Neodiprion lecontei: one gene and its partner. The protein of the gene in region 1 interacts with the protein of each later gene in a pairwise test. Links are inferred from orthologs where the notes say so. Each region holds a gene or a part of one and is shown on either strand. Other genes may lie near its edges. The genes, in order: translation elongation factor 2 and ubiquitin-conjugating enzyme E2 variant 2.

Region 1 (5,007 bases):
AATCAGCGATGCCAGGTCCATACAATATCCCTTCTGCTTCTTCGAAAAGATCGTGCTCAATGGATTGTTCAGTCCGACGAGCTGTCCTCGCCTCTTTGCTAGCCAGGGATGCCCGGCGGTTTGCTTGGGTGATGCGCGCATTCTTGTACTTAGCGGCGAAATCTGCGGCACTCGGCCCTATCGTGCATCCCATCGTGTCCAAAATTTTTAAAATTGGGTCGTAACCTTCATTGAAGGTGCACAAAGCACACTGCGTAGCGATTTCTACTATCTGCTTGCCGCAGAATACGTGCTTTGGGGCTAGTTGCCACACACAGTGATTGAAGCTCTCGTTATTGTTTTGAGTGTTCGCGCCCGGACATCGCTTTTTTTTTTTGAAAATTGAGTGCGACAAAAAAATAAGTCGCGCGACTAATTTACGGCTAATTAACGGCAAATTATGCAATAGTCCGAATTCACATTTTCGACAATTGGCGAGCCAAGTTCATGTACGTGCAGGTAGGAACGAGACAATAGAAATAACGGTCGCACGGGCAGCTGTAGCGCTCCGTTGCCTTCTTCCAAGAAATGCTTTACAGTAACCGAAATAATCTGAATTTCGGCATGAAAATTTCGGGGAATATTCGGTAGAGTGTATACTATTCGATATAGCAAAAAAAAAAAATCGATTTTTTGAAAATTTCACACTGGAAAGCTCCCTTAATACACACAACTGTGCACGGTGAAAAAGGAGAAGCAATATTAAAAAAAAAAAAATAACGAGGAAAAAAAAATTGAAAAATCATTAACGTAAGAGGATAAACAGCAATAGTAACTTCACGTAAAGTGTATATTGTATGCGTGCGCAATCATGCGAATTCGCAAAACTCGACGGGAATAAATCTTTACTATTTCCACCTTTTGAATGTGTTTAAGATATTTTGTTTTACCTCTGATTTTTTAAATTCAATCACAATTATATGAATATTTATTAACCGCTTATGTATACACGCATAATGTATTGATTTGAAAAAATATATAACATATATCTTTGCAGAAAAAAAATAATTTGTTTGAATAACTATTTGTTATTTCTTTAAGAATTCCTGACGTTATTTTGTGTAGGCTACAGATGAATATTTTTATTTTCAGCCGAAGGTGATTGCGATTTTATCGCAACATTTCATAGGATATGGGAAAATCATCTTAATTCGTTGAAGCCTTGTCGAACTTGTGGAAGAACCTTCAGAAATGACGCTTTGCTCAAACACGAACCGCACTGCAATGGCTCCTACTACAAAAAGAGGATCAGACGTTCTGTAGGAGTAAAAACAAGAAGGAAATGAAGATGAGATGCATATTACATTCATTTCAGTTCACTAATGCGATTATATACTTACAACTAATATCAGAATTTGAATATTTATGCTAGTACAATAGTACATAATACGTTGCAGACAAATATATGTAATCATGTTAATCGAAGACGATAAACGTTTATACTATATAAGAGAGTCGTAAGAATACAGGTTCCATTGAGATCATCCTGTACGTCGAAGCAAACCAAACATAGTAAATAGAGTTAAGAATATTGTTGCACAATATTACAAAACCTGGTGTGTTGCACGCAGATCATGCAGATTGACGAGTAAATGCAATGTAAGCAAAGCCGGAAGATAGTAATTGCGACGCGACGACGAGTGACGCATTAAACGTGAGACGAATATTTTTGGTTGGGTAGAGTCGGTTGTTGTTTGAAAAAAGAATAATAAAACTAGTGAGAAAAAAAACTAACATTAATTTATTTTTCTTATGTTAATTAATCGCGGATAACGCAACCCTAATCCTCCAATGATAGCATACAAGCTCATTTAGAGATTGGTTTGGTTGTTTCACAGCGTCAGCATCCGTCAGGTGGCAGCAGTTTTCCGACGCCGTTATATTTTTTGTGCATGCGTGAAAATCAGAGCTCTGATTGGTCGGATTTAGTGTGGAGAGTGTGTGTATTGCTACGCGCGCGCCATCTAGGACGTACGAACAGAGATAGTGACAGAGATAGCCCTCTTACTGCACTCTAGTCCGCTTGACTATTCTTTCCCAGGGAGTCCGCCGTTGTTGGCGCACGTATATTTCTGACCAGGCTAACGAAAATCGGACAACATCCAAAATGGTAAGTAGAATTTTAGCATGATAATGGATAAATCGAATTCCGCATGAATCGGAGAGTGAAATAACGTGTTTATTTTTTACACCCGAGCGTCGGGGAGTAATGAAAGAAATTAAAAACTCCAGGATTGCTCTGGATTGCGCAACCCTCCGAACGTCATTGCTTGAGAATGAATTACCATTCTCGACAAGGACCTATCCTAATAAGAATTACGCCGAACCCTCTTCCATATTCTTAACGGCTATATGCTTCCAAATTTCGTATGTCGAATCCGAACTGAACGATGCAAATCTGTAGAATATGTCGATCGCATCCCTCACAGACATTGCCCGACAACGTGTCACAAGCCAACATGACGATCCTCTTGCCATATTCACCAGTTTTCTCGAGTTTACATGCTCTCACAATATTGGCCGAGCCTTGCTTATACGCTTTATTAATTATAGCTTTTCCCACGGACTCTCCTACTTTTCGAAATTCTAGGCGATTAATTTACCAATATGGAAGAGAGAGTATCAATATTCCGGAAGAGAAATGAAAGTAGAAGCGGAAAAAATTTAACTGAAGCTACATATGGGTATATTTGTTTAATGGACGACCAACTACCAAACTTAATCATATCTATTCAGATACTAATCTTAGATTAGGATACCCGTCTCCAAATTAAACAATATGTTTGGAATCTTACTACGTAATATGTATTATATCTGACAAAAGCATACTAGGGATATCCAAGCTTTTCCAAATATTTGACCAAAGGAGGCAACCGTTGATAATTAACGGTTGTCTGGAAAATATTTTTAATCCTAACAGTTAGGATTGCAGTATGACCTTTAAACCAATTAGTTTTTATTTACTGTGGAAATATCTATTTATCTAATCATGCTTATGAACAGGCTAAGAAAACTCCTTCATTGTCCACTGACTACAGGCTATTTTCAATTTCATAATTTATTTTTTCTACCATAACTTTACATTGCTATGAGAAACATTTTGTTTTGTAATTACCTGAACAAAGTTGCCAATCATTACTAGCAGAGTTTAAATTAATTGAAAAATAAACTTGGCTTATGTGTATTTAAGAAAATTTATGATTATACTTTAGGTGAACTTCACGGTAGACGAGATCCGTGGGATGATGGACAAAAAGAAAAACATCCGAAACATGTCCGTCATCGCCCACGTCGATCACGGAAAGTCAACATTGACTGACTCCCTTGTTTCTAAGGCCGGTATTATTGCCGGTGCTAAAGCTGGTGAGACCCGATTCACAGACACTCGCAAAGATGAACAGGAACGTTGCATTACCATCAAATCAACGTGAGTATTTAGTTTATTTTTTCAAATATTGCTATTACAGCATTTGATAACAGAAAATGATTTATTTAAAAATTCGAATAGCTCAAATCTGCTACTGATATTACATTCATTTTACAATACTGTTCTTTAGTGCCATATCCATGTACTTTGAACTTGACGAGAAGGACTGCGTTTTCATCACGAATCCAGACCAACGTGACAAAGAAGAGAAAGGATTCTTGATTAATTTGATTGACTCTCCTGGGCACGTGGATTTCTCAAGTGAGGTAACGGCTGCTCTGCGTGTTACTGACGGAGCTCTTGTCGTCGTCGATTGTGTTTCTGGTAAGCTGGATTGTATATAATTTTCTGTACACCTTCCAGCACACCAGGGCAACTCTGTAGTGCGCCGAACAATTTTTCTTGAAAAGCTGTTCCGTGCACTTTGACAGTGTTTGCAGTGCATTTATGGAAGAAGATCAAATATGTCACTTTGTTTAAACGCTGTCAGTGGACCTCTATCTTTATGTCCGATACTGGCATGCTACGACCTTGTTCCTACAAAACAAATTAATTCCTTTGAATTGTGTTTGATAAAAATCACAATGACCAAGTTGTGTTGGATTTCAATTGGCTACTTTTCTGCAGGAGTGTGCGTACAGACCGAAACAGTACTTCGTCAAGCTATTGCCGAACGTATCAAGCCTGTATTGTTCATGAACAAAATGGACCGTGCTTTGCTTGAGCTGCAGTTGGAAAGTGAAGATTTGTACCAGACTTTCCAGCGTATTGTTGAAAATGTGAATGTCATCATTGCCACCTACTCAGACGACGATGGTCCCATGGGAGAAGTTCGTGTAAGTTATCCGTGCTGTGTGAAAAATACCCTAACAAATTCCACAATTCATCACCGTCAATTAATAATTTGTAGATTGAACCAATTAAAATATTAATTTTTCCTTTCTAAAGGTTGACCCTAGCAAGGGATCTGTGGGCTTCGGGTCTGGACTCCATGGATGGGCATTTACATTGAAACAGTTTTCCGAAATGTATGCTGAGAAATTCAAGATTGATGTTGTGAAACTGATGAATCGACTCTGGGGTGAATCCTTTTTCAACCCAAAGACCAAGAAGTGGAGCAAGCAAAAGGAAGCTGACAACAAGCGGTCCTTCTGCATGTATGTCCTTGATCCCATCTACAAGGTATTTCTAAAACATATTATGTATATTGTGTCTCAAGTTTATTGATTACTGAACGAAAGACAATGCATTGAAACAACAAAGTTTTCACTGTACTATCAATTGGTATTTCTAGAGTGTTATGCACATTTAGAATGCATTTTTATTCTTTTGTGTAGTCTAAAGTGACTAACAAACTGCAAGTATAATAGAGTATGTCAGTGTGATTCAGTTCTATGGCTATTTTAGTATTCGTTACACGAAGTACATGTTTACTTATGAAATATGTTTTTTTTTTTTTTTCAGGTATTCGACTGCATCATGAACTACAAGAAAGACGAAGCTGAGAGTCTATTGCAAAAGTTGGGCATCACTTTGAAGCC
Region 2 (4,996 bases), on another chromosome or scaffold:
ACTAACAAATTATCACTAATCAATGTCCACTCACTCTTGGTGGTCCAATTATCATTCCAGTCCAATGTGTTAAGGTCATATCATCGTCGTTCTCTAAACCCCAACTAATAGTTCCATCGCCAACACCTTTTTGCCCTTGTTCTAGCTCCTCGAGTAAGCGGAAATTTCTAGGGACAACTGAAACATAAGGCGATAGCTCGTTGAGGCTGACAAATTCACATTTACAGTAAATCATTACACAGTAAGATATTTACATCCTCTTATTGGTGTTTATGTAACTGAGGATTAATAAATCTTAGCATCACTACATATTCACAAATCTTCATGGGAATATTTAAGAATTTCCAGTAACACTACGCAAAGTTGTATATCGTTTTATTAGAAAAACAGTTGGAAGCTAAAATTATGAACAACGAGATCGGGTTGAAATTGGTGTTAAGTCAACATAACAAGACTAGGGTCAAATGTGAATCATTAACTTTCAGTTATAGAAAAATGTAGTCACTGCAGTTGTGAAACAAGTACAGCTTGCTGTTTCAATAATACCGGTGATAGGGAATAAATTTGCGAAAAAAAGCAGTACCCTCACTCTCGATGTGAAGCAGTGACAAAAACATTTCAATCACTCTCTTTCAATACTGTCACAAAGCACTTAGCATAGGGTACTTTTGTAAAAGTCGAAGAGCTTGGCCATGAGTGAGGGAAGCACTCGAGCTCAAAATAGGGGAAGCGGCACTATTGTCAGAGCACATTGTACATCGTATTTTTGAAATTCTCAAGTTACAATATAGCTATTTTTTTAACATGTAAAAAACATGCAAGTAAAGTTAATCGAGGTGAATTTCAGTGAAATCGTATTTTTCACATAGAAATATGTAGCAAATGTCAGTTAGAATAACCTAATTGCTAACTCCATAGTTTTTTCACCACCAAAAGCGTACTCAGCATTGTGTTGCTTACGTTGCAGAGTAACGAGATACCTATTGTTTACCTTATTAACCAACGCTGTCGGATGTTTTAGTTACTTAATAATCCGGCAAGACATGTTACAAGGTTAACTATAGATAACTCGCTGTGCTGCAACATAAGGGAGAAAACATATGGTAAAATTTATTTATCTCAAATGATACATACATAGTTCATTTTGTTCATGAAAAAATGAATTCTCTATGGTTCATTAAAGATAAATTACTGGCTCTAGTTACCGAGCAACTCTAAAGTTGTCTTACAAAATTCTAAGCTTCTGACTTTAAACTTCAAACTTTATCTTTCTGAAACTGTTGATGATCGTGATTGATCGATTTTTTCGGTGTAATTTAAATTTCCAGTTTTCAAACTCTTTTGTGTCGAAATGAAATTTTCTCAATTTCTGACCATTTTCATAACGTATATAATACTGGGCTTATACAAGGGTAATTGTTTTACAAAACTTCTTCAGTTAGTAAGACAATTTTTTCCAAAATTAGTACACATAGAAAAATATGTGATATAATTTTTCTAAAAGTTGGTCAAGCAAGTTGGTGTCGAAAAGTTGGTTGTATATTTGTTTTAATAAATCCTCGAAACTTCAGGCCCCTTAGGGGCGATTGTGTTTATTACACTCACATTGATTAACTTCAATTGCACCATTTAAAACATTTGAGATTTTTATTTGTATTGATTTTTAAGTAGATGATACAAGAAATGCGTCTGCAAGATCATTGGATGTTTAGTCGTTTATAAGACAATGACTTAAAAATTTTGGAAGAAGTTTAAGTAAGATACATTTAGTTCTATATATAAATTTTACTGAATTTGATAGCGTCATTTGCAAGTAATTAATCCTGAAAGATAATCAGTTATATACAGGCTCTAATGGTTTGTACTATTTTAGTTTCTACATGATCAATTGAGCTTTTCATTTACAACTCTGTACAAATTACCGCCTTATATTACAATTAAAACAAACGAAACTTAGAATAATTTAAAAGTTAGACAACTTTTATTATATAGAAATTTTTATACATTATTCTCCACCAGTTGAATTGACAATGTTGTATAAATGAAAACGATATCGTCGATGGTAAATGACGTGGGTACAGATTGTAGCATTTGTAGCTTAGTTGCTAGATAAATAATTGTGCAAAATTGTAATGCAATTAAAATTTAATTAGTCAAGCATACTGGGAACTAGGTCATGCCATTTCCTATACTCTGATCTAGTTTCATACAAAAACAAACATATCCATAAAAAATAAAACTGGACGGAAGGCCACTGTGTGCCACTACGTTTTCTATAGCTCAAAAATACATGAAAATGTTAGGCACGTCGTTAATAACATATTTTAAATATCAGATAATACCTAACATTTGTCTGAAATTAAAAAGCATATCAGAAAAGTATAAGGAGAATCGGTGATTAAGATCAAGGAAATAAGACATTTGGTTATTTCCAAATATGGAACAACTAAAAGGTAACGTTACAACACTAATGCTTGCAGTTTACGATACAAGACCACAAAATAATGAAAACATGTGTAATGGAGCGGAAGATGTTTGATGCATTTTGGTGGATACCAACGATGTGGATTCTTGACATCGGAGATATACGTCAACTACGACGACACATAGAGAAGACAGATCTAAACAATTTGACGGGTTGAACTGGTAAAGTATGAGAAAGGGGGTCGTCAAATAGACGCAAATGCAAAATTATGTATATTCTTCATTCGACTATGGTTACTTACGAACTAAGGAACGATATGCAATTAGGGGACAGGGAAAAAACGTGATCTGTCAGGTGACTAGTACTCATTATTGTGGAATTAGTAATTGGTTTCAGGTGGGAATATGATTATTGGATAGTTCGTGAGACTCTAGAATGGTCAGGGAGATCATTGAAAATGTACAAGTATGAATAATGAATCACGAAAATACGTGTGGTTAATACCACGATTAATACTGACCAACACCGGCCGTGGGTACCGCCATGATCTCAAAATTTGTGCGGCTTGATAAATGTTGGTTTTACTACGGTGTACAGCAATATTTTAGCGATATAACCACGTAATATTGAGTATTGCTTTTCTTACGATAATCTCACGACAAAACCTTCCATTACCTATACCGGAGGCTGACAAAAATCAAGCTCTCAATTTCAAAGTAAACTCACGTCGCAAAACTTCGGGCAACCTCCGGGAGGTTGTCTAATTACGTTGGTTATGTGGCAAGTGGAGATAGGCGAGCTTACAATCATTATCTGGGCCGACATTTTGTCCATATGTATTGGTGATGCTACAGAACTGTAGATGGCATTACTTCACTCACCTGTGACGTTGACAGCATTCCACGATGATTTCCAGATACTAGATACTAGGTTTGTTCGTGCTAGCTACACTTTCTACACTTTCGTGGGGAGTGTACACTTGCGCGTTTGTTTTAGCGGACGTGACGTCGGATGGCGCTGTTTGTTTTACAAATGTCACTAGACTTTTGTTACACTTTGGTCGTGTTCGAAAATTGACTGACATTGCTGTCAGCAATCTTTCATCTCTCTCGCGCTTCCAAGTTCGTGGATAGCTCTGACTCTGTCCTAGGGAATTTTCAGTACTGTCAGTCAATTTACGAACACGGCCTTTGTGTACACTTTTTACACTCGGTCGAGACTAAAGCACACGAAAATAAAATAATCTCGAATATAGGTGATGAGAGAAATTAATGACATTGTAGTCAGGGCAGCTAGGTGGTCTAATGGAGTAAGTCTCCGGTAAAGCATCTCTAGATACCAAGTTCGATTCCTGACTCCGTCGTTAATTTTTCAACTCACCTGAAAATTTTCGAAATTGTACTCTTTTTAGTATAAATATTACTGTTCCAGGTTACCGCCATTGCGAGAATCTTCGGAACCGATGCTACAAACCTATATGTAGGAACCATAATCCTTGTGAGTCATAATGCACCACTCCTAAGTGCATTCAGACATCGTGTGACGACGCATGGTCTGCCCGATATATCGTGGACAGAACGCCACTGCCTATACGACGAATCCGGTCGAAGCGAATACCTAAAGAGTATAGAATAGCGTAAAGGGCAGATCGCAGCCTGCCATTCCCGGACTTCCCGGCCAGGCGCCGGACCGACATATAAGATCGCTGCTCCAGCGTTGAGCCATCGCTCCGAGGACCGATTCCGCGTACCTGTCGATAGTGACTGTATCACGGAGTATGGAGCCATAATCCACCACTCCAAGTTGAGAGTTACTGCAAGTTGTTGCTCCCCATTCGGCAACTTTGACCGGGAGGTATCCTCCTTGCTCCACACATGCTTTTGCCATAGGGTCCCCAACGATAGGCAACTAGGAAGGTAAGGTGCCGGCAACTGAAAATTTTGTGAGAGCTGGTATCAACGACGAAATCATGAGCGGAACATTACGTGTCATCTATCGGTAATTTTTGAAGATGCGTAACACAATTACAACTGATATTCGCCACAGGAGGAATGACCCAATTATAGTGGGGAATAAACGACCAATTACAGGAAGCAGGATTACCTGACGACATCAGCGAGAACGGCGAGCCAAACCCCGACCTCCATCTATTCTACGCTCATGAGATTGAGATAACTCTTTCTATCTCGCTCGTTACGTGTAGAAATTGCCTTCACTTCATTTTCCTTTCCTTCTTCTTTACTGCTATCGCTACCGTTTCTCTATCGTTTTATATGACCGTTTAGCTCCTTTCCTTTTCTATTACCTTTTTTTTCTTACTATCGATAAATTTTATTTAAATTTAAATCAGTGCATGCGTGCCCGAGTCACCGGCTAAGGTAAGGGTTCTCCCGTTGTATTGTTTCGTTACGAAGTTGCTCGTATCTTGTTTTCTTATATCTTAATTCTCTATTTTGGTTGCATCGTGTTTTGCCAGTTTCTCTGTGAATCATGGTCCGCGTCTCTGAGTTGCTGTAGACCGTCGCGTGACTGCGTGATTTCTTTGATTAATTAATTCCGTTAAATATTATT

What was found.
Region 2: the proteins of translation elongation factor 2 (region 1) and ubiquitin-conjugating enzyme E2 variant 2 interact in a two-hybrid assay, tested with the Caenorhabditis elegans proteins (2 studies listed by BioGRID). The link is inferred for Neodiprion lecontei from reciprocal best matches to the Caenorhabditis elegans genes eef-2 and uev-1.

What each region holds. Positions count from the first base shown.
Region 1 is NC_060260.1:38,939,554-38,944,560, forward strand, and holds the start of translation elongation factor 2, read left to right. Parts: upstream 1-1,994; 5' UTR 1,995-2,146; coding exon 2,147-2,149; intron 2,150-3,251; coding exon 3,252-3,466; intron 3,467-3,596; coding exon 3,597-3,790; intron 3,791-4,093; coding exon 4,094-4,302; intron 4,303-4,414; coding exon 4,415-4,648; intron 4,649-4,930; coding exon 4,931-5,007. UniProt on the Caenorhabditis elegans protein: Catalyzes the GTP-dependent ribosomal translocation step during translation elongation.
Region 2 is NC_060261.1:26,288,334-26,293,329, forward strand, and holds the start of ubiquitin-conjugating enzyme E2 variant 2, read right to left. Parts: upstream 3,201-4,996; 5' UTR 2,971-3,200; coding exon 2,946-2,970; intron 178-2,945; coding exon 35-177; intron 1-34. UniProt on the Caenorhabditis elegans protein: Involved in protein ubiquitination, but has no ubiquitin ligase activity on its own. The uev-1-ubc-13 heterodimer catalyzes the synthesis of non-canonical poly-ubiquitin chains that are linked through Lys-63.